4 linked regions of the Rhinolophus ferrumequinum genome follow. The protein of the gene in region 4 binds, or shares a complex with, the protein of the main gene of each other region. Links are inferred from orthologs where the notes say so. Each region holds a gene or a part of one and is shown on either strand. Other genes may lie near its edges.

Region 1 (7,262 bases), on a different chromosome or scaffold from region 4:
CAGTTACTCCATATCCTTGCCAACATTTATTTATTTATTTATTTGATAGTAGCCATCCTAGTGGGTGTGAGGTAGTATTTCACTGTTGTTTTGATTTGCATTTCCCCAGTGATTCATGATGCTGAGGAGCATCTTTTCATGTGCTCATTGGCCATTTGGATATTTTTGGAATTACATATATACTATCCTATTCCCCCAAATAATTAGTTCTTTCATGGATACTATTGGTTGCCTTTATAGACTGAATATTTATTTGTGTCTCCCCAGAATTCATATGTTGAAACCTAATTCCCAAAGTGCTGGTATTTGGAAGTAAAGTTTTTGGGGAGTTGATTAGGTCATGAGGGTTGAGTCCTCATGAATAGCATTAATGCCCTTGTAAAAGAGGCTGCTGGGAGCTCCCTCACCCCTTCCACTATGTAAGGTTACAGTGAAAAGACTGTTGTCTATGAACATGGAAGCCTGCCCTTACCAGACAACAAATCTGCTAGTGCCTTTATCTTGGACATCTCAGACTACAGAATTGAGAAATAAATTCTGTTGTTTACAAGCCACCCAGTTTATGGTATTCTGTAACAGCAGCCCAAATGGACTATGACAGTTACCCATGCCCTTTCCTTTCTTCTAACACTTCCTTTTTAGTTTAGGGGCCCACCCTCTGGGTACCTAAGGCAGAGCTGAATCTATTCATAGCTGTAACATGTTCTCAGAGATCTAAACCAATAATGGTAATCTCCTTCCACTTGTCAATGTTTAGTTGGGAATATAGGCTTAAAATAATAAGCTTAAGGCAGGGTTTCTCAACCTTGATACTACTTTGAGCAGATAACTCTTTGTGTGGGTGGGGAGAATAGGTGTTCTGTGTAATTGTAGGATATTTAGCAACATCCCTTGCCTCCATCCACTACATGCCAGAAGACCCCACCCCCACAGTTCTAACAATAAAAAATGTCACCAGACATTACCAATATCACCCCTTTGCCACAATTTTGAAAATAAAAATGGTAACTATTATGGATCCAGGGATAGGTATGTGACCTAAGTTAGTCCAATCAGATCAAAAGACAGATTTTGGTTTGGGGGAACCACTCTCTGAACTTACCATGGACAAGGATGGAAGTTCCCCAGCTATGCTGGCAGGTTTCTTGTCACCACAGATTTTGGAAGTTTACAAGGAGATGAGGACAAAACTGAAAAATAATAGAAAAAGTATAAATAAATGCTCATTCTCTAAAATTAGGAAGAAAAAAACAATTTGTGCCAGGCCATGATTCTATCATACCTAGAAGCAGCCATACTTCTAGAACTGCACTGTCCAATACAGTAACCACCAGCCACATGCAGCCACTGAGCACTTGAAATGTGGCTAGTCCAAACTGAGATGTGCTGTGTGTGCAAAATACACACCAGATTTGAAGATTAGTACAAAATAAGAATGTAAAATATATCATTAATAATTTCTACCTTGATATGTTGAAATGTTATTTTTGATGATTAAGTTAAATAAAATGGTATTGAAATTAATTTCACTTGCATCTTTTTGCCATTTTAATGTGGCTACTAATATACCATATATGGCTTTCATCTGAGGTTCATATTATATTTCTATTGGACAGAGCTACACTAGACTACCTGGTTTTTGAGATACTAGATTTTTCTTCTTATTTAAACCAATGTAAATTATGATGGTGTCTTTTCTATGGAAAGTATCATACTTGATGCTATATTTTAACTATATTAACTAGATTTTAGTTAACCTGCTTTTAACTGTTTATACACCAATATAGCAGTATGTAAGAGTACTTTTGGGGGGCATATGCTATTTCTTCTCCCTTATAATTTTCTATCTCCAAAATATAAGCAGGGCTTTTCCCACCACCAATAATTTTACAGCATTATCCTGGTTTTGATACTCCTTTATCATAGGCAGGAAGCGTTTGGAGGTCATTACCATGTGGGGAATTTATTGCTCTCCCCAAATCTTTAGTTCACTAGTATCACAGATATTCCAAGGAACAACCACAGAAGTGTAATTCTGTCATCAATTCAGAGTGTTTATGTATGTCTATTGATTTTAAAAAGAGAACAACTGGATTATCAACAGACATTAAGGTAATTGTAATGTGACAGAGACCTTAGCTTTAGGATCACTGTAATTTTCCCTCATACAAATCCCGCATTTAGAAAATGTGTTAAACTCCAAAGCAGAAAATATATTTCAGGATAAGGAGGTACATACTTTAGGGGAAACTTTAATCCTTTTAATTATCTCTGACCATCTTCCATTTAAAGGTTTACTAAATAAAATACATCATATTTTGGCAAATCAGAATTGCATCTGTTATCTCAGGTTACTTTCTGTGACAGGATATTTGAGCATCATAAAACTATAGGCAATTAAAGTGCAAAGCAACATTTGGATTATTTTCATGTATAAGCATAGAATCACATTTTATATAGTCAAATAAAGCACTATGCAGAAGCTAGCATGTTAAACTCTTCTATCTATAAAATAAGTAAAATCAGGTATAATTAAGGGACCATCAGTATAATTAAGCACAATAAAGAATTTCACCTTTGAAAAGGGGGAAATAGATCATCCTGGAAATTATAGATGATATATCAGCCAACTTTCTTCAACACATTTTGGAACAAAGAGAACTAATGTAGTTATCTGAAAAAGCATAATTTCAACTTCAAACTTAACATTAAAAAAACTGGTGCCAGGCCATTTTAATTTTAATTTCCTCCCAAGATACACAGTCTAATTAAACCAAAGAGGACACACTATTAGCAAAGCTCTCTGCTCATAACAATTGGCACCGTCCTTGACGAGAGGAAATGTATATGAAGTGGCTTTATCTCATTTTAAGGTGACATAGAATGTATTTTATCTCACAGATTATTATAGACTATATTTATGCTCCTTTTAGATGGATCAATTGGTTCATTCAATTAGCAAATATTTTTTTGTATATCCCCCATGTTTTGATACTAGGCACCGGGACATGATGAACAAGATAGAAGACTCCTGATGATCAGAGAGCTTCCAGTCTGAGGGAGTGAGGGAGACAATACATAAAGAAATGAAGTGAACTTTTAGAAATGTTAATCACATTTTAATAAGAGTTCTCTTAAATTTAGATGCAGTTGGTAATAGAGGATAGAAATTAAAATTTTAATGACCTTGATGCTCTACCAGGACGATTCCATTAAAAAATAAATGGAAATGAGCAGGAATCAGTGGAAGCTGTTATATATATTAACACCGGTAGTTAGGCTTAAATACTATAGATACGTGCTGATAAATATCTGCCTACATAAATAGAGGAGACAAGCACAAAACAGTTATCAAAATAGCAGAGTGGAATGAAAACAATTCCTAACTAATTTAAAATTTACAAGCGAGTGGCAGGGAGTAATACTTCAATTATATTCTACCGCAATCAGACCATTTGTCTATTAGACGACTCTGTCCTAAATGAACATATGCCTCTTGAAGAACACTTACTTCTCTGTTTACATTTATATCTACGTCAAACATACTATTAAAACGAGGAATCACCCTTATTCCCTTGGGGTCCTTCACAACAGAAACTGACCCTGAGGCATGAGTCCACTCCAAGCATTTTCATAACCAACAAAATATAGACTTAGAATTATATAGTGGGCAGCATGTCCTCCTCACTCCACTGATTTGGATACTTTCAAATCCACTGCATGGTTAGTTATAAATTCTTGTATTCACTCGAAATTGGATATACCCTGGGGAGCATCGGAGGTGTTTCCTGAAGCAAAGACTCTTTCCGCACAGACGCCCTATACCCGACGATCACCGGGAAGCCTAGGAGCTATCCGGCCCCAGGGCGATCCGGTAAAAGTTCTGGCTTAGCGGCGGGGCGGGGAGGTGGGTGCGGGAAAATCTAGGTCTTTCTTGGAACCGGTGTCTCTAAATATTTTCAAAGCAATAGCTCTTTAAGGAAAATTATTCCCATCGCCTAAAACCAAGTTCTCGCGAGCAGACGGACACCTGATATCGCAATTGCGCGTTGCGCCTGCGCGTGCTGGGGCAGACCGCATTTCCGCTCGAGTCGTGCTGTCACTCACAGCCGTCTCCCGCCCCGCGCCGTGACGTACTACTTCCTTCTCCGCTAGGTCTGCTTCCCCTGACGGTCCCGGGAGCTGAGGAGCTGTAGGCGGAGCTGCCGAGTTGCGGAGCTGCCGAGTTGCTGAGTTGCGGAGTCTGGCGCTCAGAGCTACGGATCTCGGTGAGATTTCGCGCTGCCCGTTCTGGGTCATTTCATTGATAATCAGCAGCGGATCGCTTGCCAAGAGCCGGGAGAAACAAAGGAGTCAGGAAGGAGACTTTAGGCCCCCGGCCGCCATTCTCCCAGTGGCTTTCTCTTTCGCTCGCTCCTGTCCGGAGAACCTCGGTTTATAATTGTTACTGGACTGTAAGTATCCGAGGCGAAGAGAGCTCACTGCACCCCGCTTTTTGACTATCTTTGTTCGGGGAGAGTTTGTGAATTGGGAGTGTCTTCTGGGCCTTTACTTTCTGTGCCGAAAATCATTCCGCAGAAGCCGCCATTTGCTTTTCTGCTTGCTTGCTCTGTATTGTCCGGCAGCGCCATCTAGTGGTTGGAACTTGGCATTGCAGCTAATTTATTCAAAAGGACTTAACTGAATAATCCAGTGCCAGTAACAACTGGTATTCAGTCACAGCATATTTAAAAAGACTTGGTGCTTAATTAAAAAAAAACCAGTAGACTCTAAGCTGCTGTTCTTCTTAGAACTCTTTGTAATTGAATTTTTCAATTCATAACAAACTGGTCTTTCTAACTTGATATAGTTGGAACGTTTTAGTGCGACAAGTGTTCATTTGAGAAGTGAGTCACAAAGAAACATGAGTAAGAGCAAAGATGATGCTCCTCACGAATTAGAGAGCCAGTTTATCTTACGTCTGCCTCCGGAATATGCATCTACTGTGAGGCGGGCAGTACAGTCTGGCCATGTCAACCTGAAGGACAGACTGACAATTGAGTTACACCCTGATGGGCGTCATGGAATCGTCAGAGTGGACCGGGTCCCACTGGCCTCAAAATTGGTAGATCTGCCATGTGTTATGGAAAGTTTGAAAACCATTGATAAAAAAACCTTTTACAAGACAGCTGATATTTGTCAGATGCTTGTATCCACAGTTGATGGTGATCTCTATCCTCCAGTGGAGGAACCAGTTGCTGCTGCTGATCCCAAAGCAAGCAAAAAAAAAGATAAGGACAAAGAGAAAAAGTTTATATGGAACCATGGAATCACTCTACCTCTAAAAAATGTCAGGAAGAGAAGGTTCCGGAAGACAGCAAAGAAGAAGTATATTGAATCTCCAGATGTGGAAAAAGAAGTGAAGCGGTTGCTTAGTACAGATGCCGAAGCTGTCAGTACTCGTTGGGAAATAATTGCTGAGGATGAAACAAAAGAAACAGAAAATCAAGGCCTTGATATCTCTTCGCCAGGAATGTCAGGCCATAGGCAGGGCCATGACTCATTAGAACATGATGAGCTTCGGGAGATATTCAATGACCTCAGCAGCAGCAGTGAAGATGAAGATGAGACGCAGCATCAAGATGAAGAAGATATAAACATAATTGACACTGAGGAAGATCTGGAAAGACAGCTACGGGACAAGCTAAGTGCTTCAGATGAACAGCACCAAGAAAATGAGGGAACCAATCAGCTGGTTATGGGAATTCAGAAACAGATTGATAACATGAAAGGCAAGCTCCAAGAGACCCAGGACAGGGCAAAACGACAGGAAGATCTCATAATGAAAGTGGAAAACCTGGCTCTCAAGAACAGATTTCAGGCTGTGCTGGATGAACTCAAACAAAAGGAAGACCGAGAAAAGGAGCAGCTTAGCTCTCTGCAAGAAGAGCTAGAATCACTCCTAGAGAAGTGAAAAGAGCTTTGATACTTAAATTCATTCCTTAAAGTGGTCAGCATTAGAAGAAAAATTTTGGTTTCATTACTTGGACTAGATGATAGAACTATATGGTAATTTCTGTTTTTTTCTGCTGCCTTTTATTGAATTTGTCTTAAACGACTAGAAATGTGAATTTCTATCTCATTTGTCTCTCAGAACCACTTTGTTAGGTGTTTATCATGTAGGAAGTAGGAATGTATAGAAAGATACATAATTGTAGGAAAGTTGTAGGATTAGTGGAATGAACAGTTCAAACTTTGTAATCAAAACTTCACTGCAGGACTTTGCTGCTGTTTCTCCATTTGCCAGCAACTGGTTTTGCTAGTTTGTGATGCCATCTAAGATCACTAAGAAGAGTAGTCTAAAGGCAGTTAAGTTAGTTCGCATAATGTTTTCCCATGCAGTAGTTATTTTCCTAGTTATTCAATTTTATACATGTAGAGTTGTAAATCATTTCATAAAATTGTTTTAACACAATAAATAGAAACTAGTTTTCACCTCATAATGAGTCTTGCTGTTTTAGGGATTGTGGGCATCAGATCCTCTTGTGAGGTGGTTTCTTGGTACAGTTTAATTACTGAACAATTTGACCTGTTTGGTAGGGAAAAAAGCAGTTATGTTGGGTTTTAAGAAAAAGATGAATACAGCAAGAGCAAACAAATTGTGAAATAGCTGCATTATGTTAAGTTTCTAATCCACCTGCTGTGTTTGGAGGGTTAATAAACACTAGGTACAGAACCTTCCTAAACAACCCTAACTTTTGTACATGAAGGTCTTATTTAATGTTTTGTGTTTTTTTTTTAAAGCACTGTACTCACCTGCTTGAAATAACTAGAAACAAAACAGAGCAAAGCTTTCAGGTACTTTTCAAAGAATCATTCCATTGGTTTGGATTAAGATTATATTTTTAAATATTTTCAACTTAATTACTGTAATTATTTAGTACTCTGAGAACTGAGATGATTTGTCCGTGTCAGTTCATCAAAATTGTTTATAAAGGTCAGTATTATAATTTCTTATTTCAATATTTCTTAAACATAATTTTCATATTTACATACTCTAAAGATTCTAATATAATGCCTTACTTGAGCTATTTTGGAAGAATCAGTGATAAAATTTACAAAATGCAGAGTTTGGTGCAATTCATTTCTGAGATTGGTTTATAAAGAAAATCTTTGGTTTGAAAATTAACCTCATGGAGCAAACATTTAAAGCCCATTTTAATTAGGTATTTGACAAGAAACATGAGTGGTGAAATGTTAAATTTTCCAGACCTCTCAAGTGT
Region 2 (7,797 bases), on a different chromosome or scaffold from region 4:
CCTTATGGTATTAACACATCTAAGCCTCATAATAACTTTATGAGGTTAGTAACTATTATTATCCCCATCTCACAGATGAGGAAATGGATATATGGAGCAGTCAAGTAACTTGTCTCAAAGTAATAGCTGATAGGTAGCACAGCTAGGACTTCAAACTCAACTCATTTGATCTCAGAGCCTGCATGTTTAACCAAAGAGTATGGACATTATTTGGTGAACAAGCAGATGGTCAAGACTGCATTGTGGAAATTCTGAAAGCCATTTAAACAATGACTACCTCCCTAAGCCCCAAACGGAATAGCATTGCAGAGGTCTATACCCTGGGGTGAAGGGGATGCAGGGTGAGGGTGAGACTGTACAGTTTCTGCCTAAATTTGGGGTCTGGTTGGTACTCTCCCATCATTCCTAAAGCCCACCACCCAGCCTCCTGTGTTTTTCTTTTCTGATAGTCCCACCCCTGCCGTTCCTTGCAAATTATTCTCACAGAACTCAGCTCTACGTCTCTCTCTGCTGACCTCATTTTTATGTGAACAAATACCCTTTGTCATTAATCTTTAAAAACTCATTCCATTTTTTTTCTATAATGAAAACCTGGCTTTTCCTAGCAGTTTGCTAGGTGACACAAATTCACAGCCTTCTTCATTCAGTAATTATTTATTCAAAGTCCACTTCCCTTGATCCTACCGCCCTCTGAGGCTAGGTTCCTCTCTTTGCTTTTCTATCTTTCACTATCCGACTATACACTCATTCCTTCACCTCTTATAATCTGGCTTCCATCTTCACCATTGCCCTCAAACTATTTTGTCCAGATTATTCTCCCACCTCCTAATTGTCAAATCCAAGGCCTTTTCTTAAGTCTCTTAATTTCTGTGGTACTGAGCACACCTGACCACTTGCTTCTTTTTGAAATTTTTTCTGTTTTGGCTTTCAAAACATATTCTTCTCCTCTTCCTCTTCTCTCTCTTCTCTCTGTCTTTTTTCTTTTATCTTTTGCTATCTTTCGAGCCATTCCTTCTGTCTTTTCTTTCTCTTGATGTACCTTTTCTAAGGCTCTGCCCTTTGCCTCCCTTCTCTCCTTCCTGTGTCTTTAAACTATCACCTTGGTGTTTATGTCTCCAATCCCATTTTCTCTAGTCCTAATGTCTGTGGATTTCCAGGCCTGCACTTCCATCTGTCTTTAGAACATCTGTAGACTCTCAAACTCAGACTGAACTCATTTTTTTCCTTTCCGAATTGCTTTCCCCTTTTACTTTCCAGTTTATATTAATAGCATCATATTAATCTGGATGGGAATGTCTCTCTCCATAGCGCTCCAATTCATTCAGACACAAAGTCCTGTAAATTCTTCTAAAGTTCCTTCTTCTTCTTAATTCAGGTTCTAATTGTCTCTCATCCTAGGAACTCTCCCTGCTAAAGTGATCTTTTTAAAAAAGATAGGGACATGTCACTCTTCTGCTTAAAGATCGCCCCCAAACCCTGGCAGTTTGAAGTGCAGTCTCTGAAGAGAACATATAAGGCCTTTTACACTCTTAACTCTAGCTTCATTCCACCCTCATTTCCTGCACCCCACCCAACAATCTGGGCTCTGGCAATCTACCTAAAACATCTCCTAGAAGCATACCATGACTTTTCACTTTCTGTGCTTCATTTCTGCTTTGCTCATAACACTGCAATTTTTTTCCCTTTATGTTTTGGATCTCTGGTTCCAAAGGTTGAATTAGTCACACTCCTCAGTTCGTGACATATTATCGTAATGAGCTCTTTTCCAAGTCCTTCATTTGTTATTTATCTATGCATTCCCTTTATACCTATTCCCATTTCTCTTATGTCGCAACATTTCTAATGTAGTTAATGTCTATGCATTTTTGTATATTCCTATAAAATATGTATTTTTTGTGTCTATGTATATTTAATTTACATAAATGGTACTGTCTTACAGATTTTACTGTGTCTCTACTTTTTAAGTTTGGTACTATGTTTCTAAGCTCTGTCCATGTCGCTAGTCGATTGCTTCTGATTGCTGCATAGTACTCGTTGGTGTGCCTCCAGTACATTTTATCGAGCCACTCCCCTGATAATGGACACCGTGAATGTGTTATACCTGATCTCCTGGACAAGGTGAGCATTTCCTTCTGTTAGAACTACCTAACACAGCAGTTCTCAACCCTAGTTTACTCAATAGTCTACTTTAAATAACAAATATAATGTCTCCTTTTTAATTCTGAAATGAAATTCACAGATGACATAACCTTCTGCCGTAGGTAGCCTCTCAGATAACCTCCAATGATGTCTGCCTCCTGGTGTTCTCATCCTGTGTAGTCCCCTCTCCTTGAGAGTGGGCTGCATTTACTGACTTCTGGTGAATAGAAGTGAAGGGATGTGACTTGCAAGGTTAGGTCACAAACAAAACAAAACAAAACAAAACAAAACAAAACAAAACAGTGGCTTCTGTCTTGGGTGTTCTTCCTGGTTCTCTCTCTCATCTGCTCTGAGAGAAGCCAGCTGCCATGTTGTAAGCTGCCCTGTGGAGAGAACCATGTGGCAAGTAACTGAGGGAGGCCTTTGGCAATAGCTAGTAAAGAACTGAGGCCCTTGGTCTAACAACCTGAAGGAGCTGAATCCTGTTGACAACCATGTGAGTAATTTTGGAAGTGGATCCTTCCCCATCGACACTTCAGATGAGACTTGTAGCCCCAGCAAACACCCTGACTGCAACGTAAGGGACCTTTAGCCAGAGGCACCCAGATGAACTGCACCCAGAATCCTGGTCCACAGAAATGGAGTGATAAATGTTTATTGTCTTTGCCAGTAAGTTTTGGGATGATTTGTTACACAGCAGTAAATAATGAATACACCTAACTACCCATATAATTTAAAAATAATATGTACTATCCTAACAATTATAAAGGTAAAATAAAGATAGTAAGCTATAATAATATGTTTCAATATGTAAATGCCTAGGAATGACTATACTAGAGGGTATAATGATTTTAGATGCTTGCACCTATGTATAGAATCATCATGAATGCAGGAGCTACAAATGCAGACTGATTCCAGTGAGTACTGGCTACTCAAATTACTACAAGTGATGTGGCCTTTGGTGATATTATTTCCTGAAATGGTTCATAGCTCTTGATAAGTTCCAAACAAAACAAAGTATAATCTGCCCCATTTCAGTGTAGTTGCTGTTTGGGGAAAAATTCCAAGTTCTTTCCTTCCTGTATGCCTTTCTCCGTTCATACAGAATATTTTACTTCTGATTCTTTTGTTTACCAAGTATGTTTTTCTTTTCCCCTACACCAAGCAATTCTGTAACACCAGCTAGGTGTCCTACAATTTAACTCAATTCTGACACTATCTACCTGGAGATAGCGTCAGACCCACAGGTTAGGGTCTCAGTCCCATGAGACTGCCTCTCTCGCCCACTGAACTGCCAATCGTCACACTAGATCCCACTAGGTCCCCAGAATACCCACAACATCTGTCTGATTTGGCTGCAAATCGAAGATTCCAATGAGCTCCTCCTCTTGTATTTGATTCTTTGCTAGAACAGCTCACAGAACTCAGGAAAACACTTATGTTTACCAGTTTATTAAAGGATATGATAAAGGATACAGATGAACAGCCAGATGAAGAGATACATACATAAGGCGAAATATGCAAGGGTCCTGAGTGAAGAGCTTCTGTCCCTATGGAGTTGGGATATGGCACTCTCCCTGTATGAGGATGTGTTCCCCCACCTGGTGGCTCTCTGAATCTCCTACTATTGGGATTTATGTATCATGTAGGCATGATCAATTAACTCCATTTCTAGCCCTCTCCCCTCTCTGAAGAATGGGCCGGTGGGGCTGAAAATTCCAAGTTTCTAATCATGGCTTTGTCTTTCCGGTGACCAACCCCCCTCCAGGAGCCATCCCAGAGCCCACCCAGAGTCAGGGCTGCTATCGCTTAGGAATTTACAAGGGTTTTAGGAACCCTGTGTCAGGCATGAGGTCAAAGGCCAGACACCAGTATAGAACAGATGCTCCTAGAGCTTTTATCACTTAGGAAATTACACGGGTTTTAGGAGCTCTGTGCCAGGAATCAGGGTCAGGGATGTGTATGTATAAATGGACATATGTAAACAAAGTTAGGTCAGATAACTATAAACAGTTTTCACTCACATGAATGTTCAGCACAACATTCAGAAATAGTGTATTGTGGGGCGGTTTTTCCTTACGTGGCATCACCTCTTGCGCTGAGAACATCTTACGTCCTTAGTTTTAGCCCTTCTAATGCCTGCGGTTTTCCCAGTCATCCTTTTGACCAAAAAACTCCCCACAAAAATGTAAGTCCCCAATCTAAGGGGTAGAATCGCCGGCTTGAGAACTAGTAGGAAGAACAATATCCCGCAAAACCAATACAGTGTTTGGCAATAACAGTGGAACTCGAAATTGTTGAAACCGTTTAAATACACGCCTGGGGTAGCCCCAGACCGCCGGCTAGCCCCACAATGATCCACGACTTGGCAGTACCGAATCAGGAAACAGTGATTCGCTGTGCAGAAGCAAATTTAGGGTGACAGCGAGACACACGCCTCCTAACCCATGATTTTGCTTTGCTTTGCTAATGTTGAAGTCCGTCTTCGGTACGACAGAGCCAAGACCTCTTCCCCCTCTCCCAGAACAGCGCCCAGGTCGGCCCCTAGGCGGGACGCTCCGCCCCTCTCCGGCGAGTCCGTCCTGGTTAGGCCCCGCCCCGCCCCGCGCGTCACCGGAAGTGAGGCGGCGGAAGTAGTAAAACCCGCCCGGGGCGAGGCGGGTCGGGTTCTGTAGGCTGGCTGGTGGGATGGCAGATGAGGAAGAGGACCCCACTGTGAGTGACCACCTCTGTTCCAACCCGCTCTTTTCTTCACTCTCTCGGGTACAGTAGCGGAGGCCGAGTTCGGAATCGGGTCTATTTTCCTTAGTGAATTCAGCCGAGAGAGTCGGGGACTTAACGCGACGCTAGCCTTTCTCTTCCATTTTTCTCGGAGCGAGCAGGACTTGAAGGAAGAGTAAGAAGGTGGCCCCTTGCCCTTTGCTTTTGGTCCATATATGCCAGACACCTTCATAACGCCGAGGGAATTATTAGAGGTCAAAGCTAATGTTAGCGCTCATTATGAACCAACAGTTCAATTGCTAACAAAACTATATACTTGTAAAGTATGGACCGAAAGTCAGGGAGCCTGCATTTCAAAATCTTTATTCTGCGTGAGCTAGTTATTTAACTTTGCGGCTCGGTTTTCTTGTCACAAAATGGGGTTAAGGCTTACTTAAAGTAAGTGCCTAGCACTGTATAAGCAGCGCTTAGTAAATACTAGTTTTGCTTGCTTTGATTCGGTATCAACTCTTCTAATAGTAAACTGTCTAGCAATAGGCTAACTTGGTCTTTTTTAAAAAGTACGGTCACTGGAACTCTTCCAGGAAAGGCAGTAGAATGACTTGTTGGGGACATTTTAGAAGCCATTCCTGCATGAATCGGAGGTTGGACTAATACAGTCTTTAGGGCCTTAATTTGTTGCTTTAGGCTTTCTGGCATGGTATCAATGTTGAAATAGGAAAAAAAAATTAATAAATTAAAAAATCAAATGCAATGCAATTACTTGACATTTCTATATATACATTTTAACTTCTAGTTTGAGGAAGAAAATGAAGAAATTGGAGGAGGTGCAGAAGGTGGACAGGGAAAAAGAAAGAGACTTTTTTCTAAAGAATGTAAGTATATACACAGCGATTTTATTATAGATGATAAAATAAATGTTTTGGACATGTGCATTCAAAAATTTATTGTTCTCAATGTGTTTTCCCTATAGGGTCATTATTCTTGGATTTGCCTATACAATTCTGTTTAACTTGTGAATCAGAGCTAGTAATGATCCTAACCCCAAGTTTTATATATGTATGTATAATTATATACACACACATTTTTTTAAAGTGAGGAAATGTGATCAGTGTTTCAATGCAGGGCCTAAGAACATACTTGTACTTTTCCTGTCCTATACTTTTCTAGCAGTAGGAGCAGGGACTTCTTTGGCTGTAAGCCAAGGGTTAGGATGGATCCTTGAACAGGTACGGAGGGTAGGACTTAAGTTGGAGCTTCCGACTATGGCAGTGGACAAGGCAGGAAGGTGGTGAACAGTGTGAGGCATTACAGGGGCATAGAGAGTATAGTGTATTGGTCATCTGTTCTATTCCCTTAATAGACAGGTTTAACTCTTTTTGTCAGCAAGAGGGAATACTACTGCTACTACTGATGGCCCAGGCCACCCTGAGAGGCACCTGAAAATCTCCCAATCCTGGGTCCCTTACATGTAGTTATGGCTGAGTATTGACAGATGGGGCAACACAGGATGGGGCAACTGGTTTATTTATGCTGGGTCAGATGTAAGCAGTTCCTAAAGGTTCTTGAAGCTGCAAAATCAGTATGTTTTTTTATTTTGTAATCACTCAGATTCTTCTTCATATCTCATTTCCTTACCTTATTCCATCTCTGATGCCATTTACTCCATTTGTACGTGGTTTTACTTATGTCAGCATATGAAGGGGGTTTCTATACCAGAGTACCCCAAAGTCGGTTCTTAGCAGAAATCTCTGTTCTACTTGGATTGCTTTATTTTTGTGATGACAAGAATTTGGAATCTTCACAGCCTTCTCCTTGTCTTACTTCAATCTTGATATATATTGCTGACCAAGAGCTGTTCTCCTAAAACTTAAAAAAATTATTTTTGCTAATATAACAAAGTTGCAAAGCATTCACTGGTATTTGTTTATGTCTTCACAGACCCTATAACCAAATACAGTGTACATATTTACTATGTAATATACATTTTCCTTTTCCAGTGAAATATATTTCCCCATTAGTGAATTCTACCCATCAAAATATTAATGACAGTCTCTTCCTCAAAATATTTAAGGAAAAATAATAAGTATACAGGGGAGAATCCTGGTAGACATTACTTCAGTCAAATCATTAAAGTTAACATCACCAGTGACATATATTGACATCATGCACCCCTGATGTGATGCATTAAGAGGTCACATCACCTCTTTGGTACCTTTCCTAGTAATGTATAACCACAATATAATCATGAGAAAACATCAGACAAACCCACATCGAGAGACGTTCTATAAGATAACTGACCAGTATTCTTCAGAAGTGTCAAGGTCATAAAAGATGAGTGTGACAAACTGTCACAAATCAGAGGAAACTAAGGAGACATGACAATTAAATAGTGTAGGATCCTGGAACAAAAAAAGGACATTAGTGGAAAAACTGGTGCAATCTGAGTAAGTTCTGTACTTGTACCAATGTCAATTTCTTAGTTTTGATAAATGTTGATGGTTTTATAAGATGTTAACATAAGGGGAAACTGGATATAGGGTATTTGGGAACTGCTATTTTTGTAAGTCATCTATAAGACTGAAATTATCTTAAAAAGGGGAGGCGGGGGGCAAGAAAGTTTTCAGAATCCAAAGGAATGAGAGAGAGAATATTGGCTCCTGTCTTTTGTGTTCTCCCTCCTTATCTGGACCTAAAGGTTCTTGCCAGTGTAAACCCTAGGGATACCTCTATCCCAGGCTGGCTTCCAAGTCACCCCTTTATTTTCTTCCCTAGGCCTGATCTACTTTCTTCTCTTTTTAGTTCTACCAGCTTTTGCTTCTCCTAAATAGGAATTATTCTTTTTTTTTTTTTTTCACGTCAGACGGGTAATGTGCCGTTGTCGTAACAAGGTTTGTAGGAGGCACATCTCACACAAAAGCGTGAACACCCAATCAT
Region 3 (7,294 bases), on a different chromosome or scaffold from region 4:
ATGGCAGTCCAAGGAACATTCAATGAAGTGTTTCAGTCCACTATAGTATTCTTCATACATTGTGGGGTCTCCTTGTTGGTTGTAAGCTGACAGCACAGCACTGACATCTGGCTGGTCTTCCACAGCTACACTCCCAACTGTTTAAAAAATGAAAAACAACTTTCAAGAAAATGACCTGAGATGCACCAAGTGACTACGGCTGTTTTGCTAAGGTCCACAGGTGAATTGTTTCTCAAATGTTTGTCCCTCTCCTCTCAAACTTTCTTCCCCAACACAATCACATAATCTTTTAATAGCATTTTCACTTTGTTTCAGTGACCCATCCAAAACTCCTTCATCTTGTCCATATCTTAAAATAAAATTTTCAAATCAATAACAAGAGATTCATTTATTTTTTTCTGGAGCTACCTTATTTTAAAGACAAATTGTACAAAACATGGATGAGCAAATCAAACAACTATGTCCATCTCCTCTCAAGGGTCAATGCAAACGGCACCCACCACCACCATCAAGCCATGCCCTGAAACAACATTTCCAGTTCTCTGAGCTACCTAAGTACTTTGTAACTTTACTGTAACCTCCTATCCTATATCACCTTCATTTATGTACATCTCTCATTCCTTATAAAATGTAAGCATTTTAAGGGTGGGAAGTTTGTGCCTTATTTATATTTCCAAAAGATATGCTTAAAACAATTTCCAGAACCACCATTTCAAGTCAGAAAATACGAGTATTTATTTGTAATATAGCAATATTACAATGCTATATGTATCAATCGAATCAGGGTTTTATTGTTGGAATTTTTAAGTTGCAATTAAAGTACTGTTATGTTCCTTACTGCACAAATGATATAAATTCTTTCGATTACTCTGATGGCATTTTCTTTCCATCCTTACTGGTTTCTCAGATATGATCTAAAATATAGGTCAGGTTTCTGAACAGATTATAACAAAATGACTAACATATATACTTCACCCATGTTTTAGTTCATTCACAAAATTCAGCATTCAGGGAAAGATTCCTCTCAATCATTTTTACACACTTCTATGTATGGGTTACAACGCTATGTATTTATTCTTCACTTCTGGCAATGCTGCAAAGATTAGGTCTCATAAATACAGATTAGCTAGAGGCTCTGTACTGGATAATTTAATTCAACAAACATTCATTATTGGCTCAGGATCACCTTTGAGACCTTATATTGTGTATAAATTTTAATGCACAGACTTTGTGACAACAGTTGCTAGGAAAAGGGGATCAGGGGGTGCTCAGGTGTCAGGAATGGACACCTAGGCATAAACTTTTCAATACCAGTCATTTTACATATATTATATCTAAGTCTCACAATAACCCATTTAATCGAGGAAAAAAACTCAATTTTGGAAGAATAACTTAATCAGCATCAACCACGTAAAAGCAACAGAGACACAATCTGAACCCAGGTCTGTCCAATGCTTATTCCTAAACAAATGGTTCTCAAACTTGGGCATACATCAATACCCCTCGGAAGCATTTACTCAAAAATGCAGATCCCCAGGCTCAGCTTCTAAAAGCTCTGATTCACTAAGTCTGAAATGATGCCCAGGAATCTGCATTCCCCCCAAAGCGTCAACACTCGTGGTAGTTAGCCCACATTCTGAGACATACTGGCTACACTACGTTCCATCACTCCGTGGCTGTGTGGTCCAAAGCAAGTCCTTTGGCCTTTCTCAGTCTGTTTTCTCATCTCTAAAATAGTGGAATTGTGAGAATTAAGATATAGAACCTAAAATATTTGTACAGAACTGTACAAATATTGTTAGTGCTAATGTAGACCTGTCCAAAGCTCAAGAACCCAAATAAGCGAAAAGGGACCGAAACACTAAGGGTCCGCGCCTCTCCGCGCCCACCTTCCGCATACATCCTTCTGCTCAACAGCTCTCAGCCTCTCGCTGGAACTGACAGCTCTAGGAATAGGGTTTGACTGCGCAGCCGGCGCACTAGAGAAAGGGGCGGGCATGTGGTCCTAGAGGCGGGCCCAGGAAATTCAAAACAAGCCCGCAGAGGTGCAGGCCTGCCAGCCTCGGCATTCCCGGCTTGCTCCCCTTCGTCCCGGCCCTGTCTTCCCGGGACCTCGCGGCTCACCTTTCCCCGGAGCCACAGGACCTGTTGCTGAGCCCGAGACGGCGGCAGCTCCCGAAGCGCCGGTTCCCGGAGGGTCTGGGGCGGCAGGACCGGGAGCCGAGGCTGTGACCCGGCTAAGAAGCGCGCTAGCCGCCTCTGTGCCGGCGCCGTCCCCATCTCCCGGGGCTCCGGTGCCCGCCACTGCCTCCTCCAGCAGCCGGGCCTCCCGGCGCAGAGCTTCTTCGGCCTCGCGGAGGTTGCTCTGCCGTAGGAACTGCAGCACGGCCAGCAGAGTCTGTCGGTCGTGGGAAGCGCCCGCCTCCGGAGCAGTGGCGGGCACCGGGGCCGCCCCCGCCGGGGCAACGGCGGAGACAGCCACCGAGGGTTTGGGGGTCCCACCATCCCGGCCGGCCGACGACGACGCCGCAACGTTCCCACCGCCGCTGTTGGGGCCGTTGTTGGTCGTGCTGCCGCCACCCTCGCCAGCGCCGTCCCCAGCCTGCGGAGGTAGCAGCGTCGGCGGTCCCTCGGGCTCTAACTTGACCGCCACCTCCGTCTGCTCCTCCGCCAGCGCCGCCATCTTGCGGCTGAGCCACCTCGCGCCGTCAAGTGCGATTGCGTTTTCGCCACATGGAGGGCGGGGATGAGCATTTCACGACAGCTCCGGAAGGCGATTTACGGCAGTGGGAGGGGCGAGAAGAAGGAGAAAAAGAACACGAGCGAGAGCAACTTTCAAAAGTGAGTGACAGAAAGCAGGAAATTGGAGATGGCGACCGCCTATTGCATTTGCCTGAAAATAATTACCACTTATTGCAAACCAACTGCTATATTCAGGCACTGTGATAGACGTTTTACATTATATGACTTTTAATTCAACAATTTTATAAGGTACTGTTGTCCTCACTTTACAGGTGGCTCAACGGAGACCCAAAGAGGTTAAATAACTTGCCAAGTCACTCAACAAGAAAGTGAACGTTTCAAGATTTGAATCCAGGTCTTTAACTCAAAAGCATATACCATTTGCCAAAGGGAGGCTTCTGAGATACTGGTAATGTTTTGTATTTTGATCTAAATGGTGGTAACTTTCTTTGTTGTTCCAATTTTTACTTTTGTAAAAATTAATCGAGCTGCGTGCTTAAGCTTTGTGAACTTAACAGCATATATGCTATATTTCAATAAAAAGTTTCTAAATATCTGAATTTTGTGATTGTGAAATGTGTACATTCTGTATTCATACTGTGTTATCCATTATTACAAATTGTAAAATTTCTGCATTTTAATTGTGTATTTTAAAATAGTATATGCCATTTTGCAGTATGCTTCATAGATTATAAAAACCCTGCTGCATATTTTATCTCACTTGAATCTCACAACTCTGTGGGATAGGTGAAGACAAGAAAAGTGAGCCTGGGACATGGGGAAGATCTAGCACTTATTCAGGTTATTAGTTTTGAGGTCTTACTAGCTTTCTTTGATCCTGATTACTAGCTGAATGACCTGAAGCAAGTTACTTAACTCACTCTATCCCAGTTGCCCAATTTCTAAAATAGGGATAATAATAGTACTTAACCTCAAAAAGTTGTATGCGGATTAAATGATATAATGTACATACGATACCTAATACGTAATAAATAGCTACTGGTTGTTCTTACTTAACCTTAAAAGGTGTTCTGTAAATGTTTGTTATGAAAGTCCAATCATGATATCCAAGGTAATCTCATGACTAAAATATAAAACTAATCTAATTGGATAGCTAAAGTAAGATGAAATATGGGTGAGAGTTGGGGAAAGATGAGCAAGAACTGATTAGCATTTACTTAGCACTGACAGAACCTGAATCTGATGGTACATGCTTATGACCTGGGAAGAATTCATCCTTTTCCTCAGGATCATTCAATTATTTTTTTCTGATTCAGTATTCAGTAGTTGATAATTGGTAATTAACTGAGCACTTAGTAGATAGATAAGAGATACCATGAATAACAAGCCCAGGTTTGTTTACTATTCCCTGGAAAGATGTTTTACCCCATTATGAATAGTATATTAATATTCTGATGCATACATTAGTCTCTCAAATCAGGTCCTGGGAACTGGATCCACCTGTACAACTGAAGCCCTGATACTGGACTCACAAAAGTACAGCCACTCGCTTTCCCTCTGTGGGAGCCACCTATTACTGGCTTTTTCTCTTTCCAAAAAATCTGGGTTGGGACTTCAGCAGAGGTAATTTACTCTAAGTACAGTGGTTTTTCCTGTTACACCTCAATAGAGGTAAATTTATTGAATGCCTATAAGGTCCACTATTAATTTTTGATTCTCTCTTCCCCTTCTTTTATGATCTTTCCCATTCTCCTCCTACTTTCTTTTTGGGATGCTTTAAGAGGTCCAGTGTCGATCTGTATCTCGTTACTTCATAGGAGAGCTGCTTTTTCTGGGTGTTTCTCTTTGATGTTCTTTCATTTCACACTAATGGATCCAAGATTAGACTTTTTTTCTGTCTATCCTGATTTGCCTCTTATGTACCCCTTCAATCTGAGATTTTTTTTTTCAGTGCTAGGCATTTAGTAAGCATTATATCTACAAATATTTCCTCCCTCCATTTTCCCCTTCTTCTTGGATTCTTAGGATGTAGATACTATAGTTATATACTCTAGGTCTGTTAACTTCAGTATTTTCATGTTTACCTTTCCCAGATCCCTCCTAGAAGAGTTCCTCAACCTGATTTTTCAGCGCAGTAATTGATTCTTGGCCTACATCCATACTACTACTCAACCCATTTATTGAGTTATTTACTTCAAACATTATATTTTTCATAGTATGTTAAACTAGTTCATGATTTATTGCTTCAAGTAACCCAGTTGGGTGATTTTGTCCCCCCACATATCCTGGGGGGACATTTGGCAATGTCTGGATACACTTTTGGTTGTCACAACTCAGGGTTGTGCTACTGGCATCTAGAGGGTAGAAGCTAGGGGTGCTGCTAAACTTCCCACAATGCACAAGACAGCCCCAGCCCCACCACAACAAAGAATTTTCTGTCTCAAAATGTCAATAATGCTAAGGGTGAAAAACCCTGATGTATACAATATGAACTCATTTTTTTTCCTTTGAGGATATGTATTGTTTAAATTAACTTTCCATCTGATGCATTTAACCTGTTACATTTACTTTAGGTTGTTCAGTTTTTCTTACTTTAATGGGAGTTGCACTTTTTTCTATATCTCATTACTTTTCTTCATTAATTTGTATTTCCCTGGAGGTATCATGTACCTTGGCTGATACATTTACCCAGAGGGAGAAGGTGAGGGATGCCCCAAAAGGGGGAAAGCCTGTGGTATCACTATCTGGGCTTCATCATTACCTGTTTGCCAGCGCGCACACGCACGCACACACACACACACACACACACACACACACCACCCCTCTCCCCGCCCTCAGGGTTTTCAAAGTTTTTACCAATCTATTAATTTCTGTGTCATCTCTCGGGTTGGGTGTGATGGAGGAACCAGCCACCAGTGAGAGTTTACCATGTTGTTTAGTTTCTGAATTTAAACTCACACTGGTAGCTTGATTTTAGTTTAATTAATTTTAAATTGACCTGCAGTTGGAAATCCCGAGACTAGAGTAATTATTATTAACGAAGTATAGTTGGAGGAGGACATGTGAATAAATGCATAAAATATATAGGTTTTGGAGACACAGGACTTCATATTTAAATTTGGGAGACAAGGGCAGAGTTTATTGTGAGAATAATTTCTCGGTATTTGGCGACGGTGACTGAAAGGATGACTGAGAATAACCTGGTTAGGGAAGAAAACTATGAATTTGGTTTTTGACATGTTGAATTTGAGGTCCCTAGAGGTCATGCAAGTTTTGCTGGCCATAGGCAGAAGCATTTTATGGGTTAAAATGCTTCTAAGCATTTTAAGGAGAAAAATCGGGGCCAGAGACATTGATTTGGAAATCAGCATATAGATGGTAATTGAAGTCATGTGAGTGAATAAGATTACCCAAGATATTGCATAGAGCAAGAAATGAAGAAGTTCTAGAATAGAATTCTGAGGAACATCCATATTTAAAGGCTAATCCAGGGACCACTTTGCTCACATGTTCTTGAAATTACCTTTTCTCCTGAATCTTGGGACCCAAACTTTTCCTTGTTTTCCTTCTACCTCTGGCCACTCCTCGACTCTTCTATTGCCACTACTTCCTCCTCTACTTCATTTTTATTATTCTTTCCAGGTTTAATTTATTTAAAAAAAATTTTTAATCGACAATTTCAGATTTACAAGAAAGTTGCAAGAAAGTACAAAGAATTCCCAGATACCCATCATCCACATTCCCCAAACGATACATTTACTACATATGCTTTATCCTTCTCTGGCTCTCCGTCTCTGCCTCTCTGTAGATAGATAGATAGATAAATAGATAGATACACTGATATAGAGATCTCTATGTAGATACAGATATAGAGTTCAGACTTAGTTCAACTCAACTTACTCTTAGTAGTTCAGAAAAAAATGTATATGCACGTGTTTTTTCTGCATTACTAAGAGTAGTTATTTACAGGCATGATGTCCCTTTACCACTAAATACTTCAGTATGCATTTTCTCAAAATGACATTTTCTTACATAACCAAAGGACAATTACCTAAATCAATAAATAAACATTGATACAATACTCTTGTCTCAATAATTGTCTACAGACCTTACTCAGATTTTTCTGTCTCAACAATATCCTTTATAGCAAAGAAAAATCCAAGATTATTCATTGCATGCAGTTGTCGTATCTCAATAGTCTAATTTGAATCCTCCCTTTTTTGTATTTTTTTAATGTTTCCCCACCCCTCTTTTTTTTGTATTTTATAACATATATTTTTGAAGAGTACAGGCCAGTTAATTTATAGAGAATGTTCTTCAATTTGAATTTGTCTCATGTTTCCTCATGGATTGATTCAGGTTCAATCTGTCTCATCTTTGGCAGGAATAGTACAGAAGTGATGCTGAGTTCTCAGTGCGTCGTATCAGGAAGCATGTGGCTGTGGATTACTCCCATTGCTATCAATGTAAACTTTGATAATTTGCTTAAAGTGGTGAATGCCAGATAGTTTGAAACTATGTAAATATCCTATTACCTCTCAAACTTTAGCTCACCAGTTTTAACATCCATTGATGATTCTTGGCCTGTATC
Region 4 (7,491 bases):
ACGTGAACACATCCTTAATACTGACATTTGAACAGAGATGAAAGTGAGTCCACGGTCACCCATGACAAAGACAGGACACCCTTTTTGAACCACAGCTTCCTCCCCCAGAAGAAAAACGGCAGGGGCTGCACCTATACTGAGGCTCAGAGGAAGGGGATCCAGTGAACCCCAAACCACCACACCTGCAGGCCTCATGCAGCACCAGCGGCCTCTTCACCACCCCTGCACACCTGGCCAAGCACCTGCCTCACAAACTTCACTGACAAACTCGCCCACTTTTAAATAACAAAAGCGGAATGTGGGGACCATCCTGGTAAGAGAAAGACAAATCTAAAGCCAACAGGACCACCGAAAGGACATGGCCGTGGACAGGTCAAAAGTATCCTACGTTTTACATAATGAACTATAAGCACGAATTTCCTGTTTTAAATGTAACTAAAGATCAGCCTATACATTCTCCACTTACAGGTCAGGAGGCACATCAACGAACAAAAGAGAACCGTCAATGAAACACCCTGACAAACTCAGAAACAAACACAACATGTCATGAGCGGCATCTCACACCACCTCTTCCTCCTCAAGCACGGGTGCCCCAGTAGCCCCTGGTTGGGGCTGCACCCTTTCTCTACCAGTGCCCGTACAGAAACAGGTCCCCGCCACGCTCTGCACCACTGCCCAAGCTCACTGACTTGGACAGGGAAACCCTGCCTTCTTAACACGCTGAAATTCCTTTTCAGGGTGACCCATGCTCTTTCCAGCAAGCACGAGGAGACACGGAGGTGCTGTTTCTACTACTTCTGCCACCACAGCAGCTGCTCCAGCAGCACATGTTACTACACAGCCAGGGAGGAGCTCTCCAGAAGCTCAGCACTCACTCCACGCTGACGAGTGCAGGGGACAGAAGAGAGAAAATGGCACAGCAAGTGCTCGAGTTTCCCTCTGCCTGGGAATCCCAGAACCAAGCGGCGACACAGAACGCTTGGGGGATCTTGCACTGTCACACGCAAAGAAGCGCCAAGATGACAGGAAACTGAGTGGACTCACTGAGCGCGCTGGGCTCCGTGAGGTCCGGCACCATCTGACCCTCCAGGAGACCCGCTGACTGGACAGCATGTGCCCGCCGCTGGTGTCACTGGACGGTCATGATCAGAGGAACCAGGCGTCCTCTAAGTGATCACACGGAGCTGAACCCCACTGTGGGATGGGAAGGGCTGAAATCCCAGGAAGGCTGTGTGCCCAGGAGTCCTCCAGGGCTCACCTGGGGTGCCTGTCATCCTGGTGTTAGGAGGGAAGCAGCAGCTTTCCATGCAGACCTGCCCAGCCTCAAGGAGGGGACGTCACTCTGCACGACCCACCGGGAACACCATCACAGCCCCGAAACTAAAGGAGCAGGGAAGCTCAGTGAGGACACAGACCATATGTCTGATCCCTGACACAAGAGGGGAAGTGCCAAGCGTGGGAAGACCATGGACCCAGGCCATGTCTCTCCATCCTGTATAACCCAGCAAGGTGTCCCGGCAGCGCCTGCTGCCACTGCACTGCACGGAGGACGGGAGGAGAACTGTGAGCACCGGCCCAGAAACTTTGCAAGGCAAGGACATAAACTGAAACCAACCTCTGCACCAGGTAAGAGACCCCAGCTGCCACAGGACACCGGGACGTGCAAGAACACATTCTCACCCCGGGTGACATCCTGCCCCTGGGCACGGCTACAGCTCGGCTCCCACAGGCCCGTGCCAGACCCTACAACTTCCTGGACTCCCAGCTGGGACAGCAGACTCGCGCGTCGCTCACTCACCTGGGGGCAGCTGAAAGTTCTGGATGTTGGTCGGGTTCTGGGGCGGCTGTGGCAGACGAGGGGCCAAGACGGTGGGCGTCAGCGTGGCCCGGATCCCGCTGGTGGTGACCGAGGGCGTGCGGGGCAGGCTCTGGGCGACAGCGCTGGCCGAGCCCTTGGGCAGCCCGGTGGGGGTGCCGGCGGCGGCGGCGGCGGCGGCGGCGGGCAGCGCCCCTTGCATAGTTGGCCCGAGGATCATGCCAGGCCCCGCGCCGGCCGGGCAGCTGGCCGCCAGGGTCTGCGGCGGCGGGGGCGCCGGCGGCGCCGCGGTCTTGGGCGAGTCGGCCTTGGCCACCTGCGCGGGCGGCGCGGCGGGCCCGGGCTGACTGTTGGCGGCGGGCGCCGGGGCGGGAGCGGGCGCTGGGGCCGGGGCGGGAGCGGGCGCGGGGGCCGGGGCCGGGGCGGGTGCGGCGCTGCCCCCGTTCTGCGCGGCCGCCGGGGGGCCCGCCGGGGCACCGGGCGGCCGGGCCAGGCTGGCGACGGCGGGCGGCGGCGGCGGCGGGGCGGCAGCGGGCGCAGCGGGCGCGGGGGGCGCGGGGGGTGAGGGGGCAGGGGGCGCGGGCGCGGCGGGCGCGCCGAGGCGGGGCGGCGTGCGGGCGGCGGGCCCGTTGAGCAGCAGGCTGGCGGCAGGTGCGGCGGCGCGCGGCGAGTTCCCCGGCGCGGCGCTCCCATTCAAAGTTTGCGCGGCGCCGGGGCCGCCGGGCGGGCCGTTGCGGGCGGCGGGCTTGACGGCGGGCGCGGGCGCGGCCCCCGGTCCCGAGCAGGCCCCGGCTCCGGGCCCCGGCGGCGCGCTGGCCTCGAGAGCGCTCAGCTTGGCGGCCGGCCCTGCGGGGACAAGCGGGGCGGCGCGGTGAGGACGCGGGCCCGGCCGGCTTCCGGCCACGCTCAGGCCGCGCCGCGCTCTACCTGCGGGGGGCGGCTCCGGCGCCGCGGCGGGCGCGCCCTCGGCCGCTCCGGCTCCGGCGTGGTTCCCGAGCGCGCCGGCGGGTGCGCGGGGCGCGAGGTGGTGGTGCTGGGCCGCGCTGGCCGCCAGCTGCGACTCGAGCGAGCCCACCAGGTCGCTCACCACTTTCTCGTCCACCTCGCTGTTGAAGAAGACCTCGTCCAGCAGATCCGAGCCCGCCGCCATCTTTCCTCCTCGGCCCGCCGCCGCCGCCGCTCGGCCGGCGCTGGGCGGGGAGGCGGCTCCGCGCGGGCGGGCGGGCGGGCGGGCTGGCGGCCGGCGGGGGCGGGCGGGGGGCGGCGCGCGCCGGGCGGGGCGGGGGCGGCGGCCGGGCGGGGGGCGCGGGCGGCCGGCGCGGGGGGAGGGCGGCGGCGGCGCATTACGCAGGCGCGGCGGCGCGCCCGCCCCCGCCCGCCGCCCGGCGCTTCGCCATTGGCCGCGGTGCCCCCCCGCCCGGTAGCCGGGCGCCTCGCCATTGGTCGCGGCGCGCGCTTAAAAGGCGCGGCCAATGGCTGCGAGCGGCAGAGGCCGGGGCGCGGGCGGGCGTCCGGGCACAGCGGCCGGGCGGTGGGCGCCGGGGTTCTGCGGGCTGTGGGGGTGCGGGCTGCCGGGCGGGCCCGGGGTCGACCGCGGGAGGCCGCGGCGGGCTAGGATCGCGGCCGAGGCCTGCTGGGGACGGCGATGGGGTCTCGCTCTTTGTCTCCGCTGCCTCCAAAATGGCTGCGGCCGGAGCCGACGGGAGCTGACTGGGCGCCCAGCGGGCGAGGGCGCGGGGACGCCGTGCTCCGGGGACCGGGAGCCCCTCCGAGCCGCCGCCCGCGGTGACCGTGCGCTCGTGGAGGGCGGGGGCAGGGGTCCAGGGTGGGAAGGCGCCCCGGCGTCGGCGCCATTGCTCCGGGCGGGGCGGGGCGAACGCGCTGGGTCCTCTACTAGGCGCTCGCGCAGGAAGCGTGCGGCGGCCGGCCGGGCGCGGGGACCACTGCAGAGCTTGCGGGGCGCGGGCCGGAGGACCCGTGCGCCCCGACCCAGGCCGGTCCCCGGCTGAGTCAGCCTGAGGCCTCTCCGGAGTGACTGTCATTTCATCCGGCCTCACGGTTCCCAGACACGAGTGTCTTTTATAAATTATTAGGTGAGCCAACCGCGCCTGCGGGGACCGGTAGCTGGATAGGGAGCAGTCCGATCTGGAGGGCCCTTTCTGTTCCTCGTTTCCTGTAAGTCATCTCAAATCATGTTTACAAGCGCCTCTATAAACTATTTCAGAGAAAATTCTCTCTGCGTTTGTTTTTTGTTGTTGTTGTTGTTTTGGTTTGGTTCTTTGTGTTTCACCAAAAGATGGTGTTCTGGGACATTTTTAGTGGTATTTCTTCTCCTTTTTTGGGGGAAGCCCAGAGAGAAGTGTTCTCAGGCCTCACTGGCAAAATGGGAGATCAAAGGAGCAGGCTCCTGCCGAAGGGATTGTGGCCCCGGTAACACAGACCTCAGCACAATAAGGGAAACAGTTGGCAGTAAACGTCCTCTCCAGCCACGCTAACAAAAGGCCCATCCAGCTGGGCTGTTGTGCGGGCTCCACGCAGCTTTTCAAACCCTTGGGCTGATTTCTGGGTCACCCTCCCCAGCTTCCCAAAGAGCAGTAGGGACTGGAGTCCAGGAAAAGTGCTTCCCCGGGGGACAGTGTCAGGTAAATCCTCCAAGGATAAGTGGAATTTTAGCACCCAGAGGACAGGAAAGGAAAGGAACTACCAGGGTTCAGGGGCGCCCTGGGGTGGAGAACTGGGTGCCTGCGTACCTTGACCCAGCCTGGGCTGGTAGTCTAGTTCTTAAACAAGAGCAGAAATGTGGAATTGTGTGTAACCGCTTGTCCTCTTTAAATGTTGACAACTAGTTAGAACATTTTAAAGTGGACCAGACAAAAACGTCAGCAAACCAACCTCGGCCCTCGGTGCAACATGTGTCGTAGGAAACGCAGAGGGTCTACCATAGTCTACACTCAGATAGAAATCAAAACACTCAGATGGAAATCAGGGGTGCTAGCAGGCAGAACGCTGGATGCCTCTAGGAAGTGAAACACAGCTTCAGAGGCCTCTCCAAGGCCTGTGGCTGTGGGGGAGGGGACCCATTCTTAAGCCCGCCCCTGCTACATGACGCAAATCCTCAGTAGAGAAAGGTCACGGGTGCCATCTCAGGCTGCTCCTGTTTGCCCACAGCGTGGTGAACTCCTGAGTTCCCTGAAGGCCCACCAGAACCCCTCCAACCCGGTGTGCTCCCCGGGCCTCCAAAAGCTGGGCTCGGCGTCCTTGGATGCCCTCCACAGCCCCTCCCCTCTGCACCAGGCCTCTTCCTGCATTGTGCTGACATCACCCCCACAGTCCTCTGGGGCACCCTCCAGTCCAGCAGGAAGTGTGGGAGGTTAAGAGTCTGTGCCCTGCCCCCTGCCATCCCAACTTCCCTGGGGGGGTGGGCCTTCTGCATCCCCAGGAAAAGGTAGGAGCTGCAGACCAGTTAGAGTTAGCAGCTGTACTGGTGCCCTCCAGAGCACTGCCCACTTTGAGAGTGAACAAGAGGAGTACAGAAGCCACTTGGCTCCTCCCCTCCCTCAAAGCTGGTGGGGGACACACTGCCAACCTTGGTCACCCTGGGGACGTGGGCCATTTTCTTTGAATATCTCTGTGGTTGCACTTGCTTCCACAAGCAGTTTTGACTTCCATAGCTTGAAAGTAAAATCCCACATAGCATAAAAAGAAAAACAGGAAAGAAAGGAGTAAATATAAACACCACGCTTAAACGCAGAAAAATGTTTGCTGTGAGAACGGCAGAACCCAAAAGAGGACGTCCTTGCCACCTGCCACACTGCAGATGTGCCAGGCCCTGGGCAAACAGGCAGCTGTGTGGGCTTCTTACTCAGCAGTCTGTTGTCTTTTCAATAAAATACAGAAAGCATCAGACACACTCGCTGAAAGACAAGAATAAACAACAAAGACTCAGTAAGTTCAACTTCGCTGTGGCTGTGTGAAAGATGTGCAATGTTTGTTACCTTTCCCATGCTTTGGTTGTCTGTCTGAAATACTACATAATGAAACAACATTTTTGAAAAAAAGACATGCAGTTATCTAGATGGCCAGTGACGCAGGCCAGTGCCCCAGAGTCCTATCGACCTGGCTGACTTCCCCACCCCTGCCGGCAGTGCTGCAGGCTCAGTGGGATGTGTTTAAGCGTGGACCCACAGCCAGGGACAAGCTCATGAACACCTAACTGATCTGTGAGCAGCGACACGTTCGTTTCTTAGGGTCTTCAGAGCATTATCACAATGGGGACTTAACCGACATTTATCCTAGTCACGTAGCTTCTCTCTGTGTGTCTGTCCTCTCAAGAGGACTCCAGTTATTGGATTTAGGACCCACCGTACATCCAAAATGACATGTACAAAGACCCTATTTCCAAATAACATTGAGGTTCTCATTGGATATGAATTTGGGGGGACACTATTCAACCCAATGTACCAGATGACTAGTTTGTCCACTATGGAGAAAAGACCTATCCGATAAATCACGAGGCCCTCTTCAGCCTTACCAGCTCCTGTGCCCCAGGAAGTGGGCGGGAGAGGCTGGAGTACGAGACACCAGCCTGTGACTCGATGGGTCTGCAGTGGAGTCCACTGATCAGGACAGTCCCCTCCCTGTCCTGCCTTGCCAAGAAAGTGACGATGCTCAAACCTGCTGGGGTGACCACCCATGATAAGCACACTGACGCACTGAGACTTTCCCGTGCTAAGCCAAGCCTGAATTGCAGAGGCGGGAACTGAGGCTTGGGAAGGTCAAGTCAACAGCCCAAGTGGGGCAGAAACCCAGGGCTCGGACCTTAAAGCGACAGACGTCAGAGCTGCTCTTTCGAGGTTGCCACCCTGGGCTGACCGGCCCCTCTGTCCACAAAGCCTCTCAAACAGCAGGACACCACCAGTTCGATACACGCTCCTAAATTCGAGTCAGAGCCAGGCCAGCTGCCTCTCCAAAATTGACCCAGAGCTCCAGGATGGGGGCTGGCTGTCTGCAAACTCTGGAATGACTCAATCACACCAGTCTCTAGGCTGACTCTGAAAAATGGCTAGCTACATACAGCCATCGTGGGTGGATTTCACTAGTGTAGCTCAGAGACGAGCTTACTTCATAGCTCAGATGTATTGTCATCCCTAAAGCAACCACCAAAAAAGAAAAAAAAAAAACAAAAAACCACAGAGGTATAGCTAAAAATCAACAAACAAAAATCGATGGCTAAAAAATTCAGATAATCCAAAAGGGAGCAAAAAAGTATATTTGAGAAGGAACAAACCTAAAACAGAGATGATAGACCTAAATCCCACCAAATTAATCATTAAATGTTAAGCACTTCCATCAAAAGGAAAGAAAAGCAAGAGTCTGCCATGTACTATTTTCAAGAGAGGCACTTTAAAAAATGTAAATCATACAAATAGTATGCCTACCAAGCCTGGAGAGACGATATTGACACCAGATAAGGTAGACCACCACAGAGTACTGTCAAGATAAAAGAGGACACAGCATCATGAAAAACAGTTATCTTATCAAGAAGACAAAAGTCCTAAGTTGTTAGGAGTTTCATAACAGCTTCCAAATACGTGAAGCAAAGATGGACAGAGTTAAACAGAGAAACAGATAATTCAACAGTGGGATGGCACAGTCTTTGTTCTTTTGTGGCTGGC

What was found.
Region 1: TAF4 (region 4) and TAF7 share a complex: the UniProt entries of both Homo sapiens proteins name them as parts of the TFIID basal transcription factor complex. The link is inferred for Rhinolophus ferrumequinum from reciprocal best matches to the Homo sapiens genes TAF4 and TAF7.
Region 2: TAF4 (region 4) and TAF13 share a complex: the UniProt entries of both Homo sapiens proteins name them as parts of the TFIID basal transcription factor complex. The link is inferred for Rhinolophus ferrumequinum from reciprocal best matches to the Homo sapiens genes TAF4 and TAF13.
Region 3: TAF4 (region 4) and TAF5 share a complex: the UniProt entries of both Homo sapiens proteins name them as parts of the TFIID basal transcription factor complex. The link is inferred for Rhinolophus ferrumequinum from reciprocal best matches to the Homo sapiens genes TAF4 and TAF5.

The regions. Positions count from the first base shown.
Region 1 is NC_046307.1:15,636,522-15,643,783, reverse strand, and holds TAF7 (transcription initiation factor TFIID subunit 7), read left to right. Parts: upstream 1-4,261; 5' UTR 4,262-4,903; coding exon 4,904-5,953; 3' UTR 5,954-6,833; downstream 6,834-7,262. UniProt on the Homo sapiens protein: The TFIID basal transcription factor complex plays a major role in the initiation of RNA polymerase II (Pol II)-dependent transcription.
Region 2 is NC_046305.1:41,352,099-41,359,895, reverse strand, and holds the start of TAF13 (transcription initiation factor TFIID subunit 13), read left to right. Parts: upstream 1-4,781; 5' UTR 4,782-4,827; coding exon 4,828-4,902; intron 4,903-5,656; coding exon 5,657-5,735; intron 5,736-7,717; exon of another isoform or gene 7,718-7,797. UniProt on the Homo sapiens protein: The TFIID basal transcription factor complex plays a major role in the initiation of RNA polymerase II (Pol II)-dependent transcription.
Region 3 is NC_046299.1:21,905,900-21,913,193, forward strand, and holds the start of TAF5 (transcription initiation factor TFIID subunit 5), read right to left. Parts: upstream 3,022-7,294; 5' UTR 2,684-3,021; coding exon 2,125-2,683; intron 138-2,124; coding exon 1-137. UniProt on the Homo sapiens protein: The TFIID basal transcription factor complex plays a major role in the initiation of RNA polymerase II (Pol II)-dependent transcription.
Region 4 is NC_046306.1:1,376,307-1,383,797, reverse strand, and holds the start of TAF4 (transcription initiation factor TFIID subunit 4), read right to left. Parts: upstream 3,012-7,491; 5' UTR 2,967-3,011; coding exon 1,799-2,966; intron 1-1,798. UniProt on the Homo sapiens protein: The TFIID basal transcription factor complex plays a major role in the initiation of RNA polymerase II (Pol II)-dependent transcription.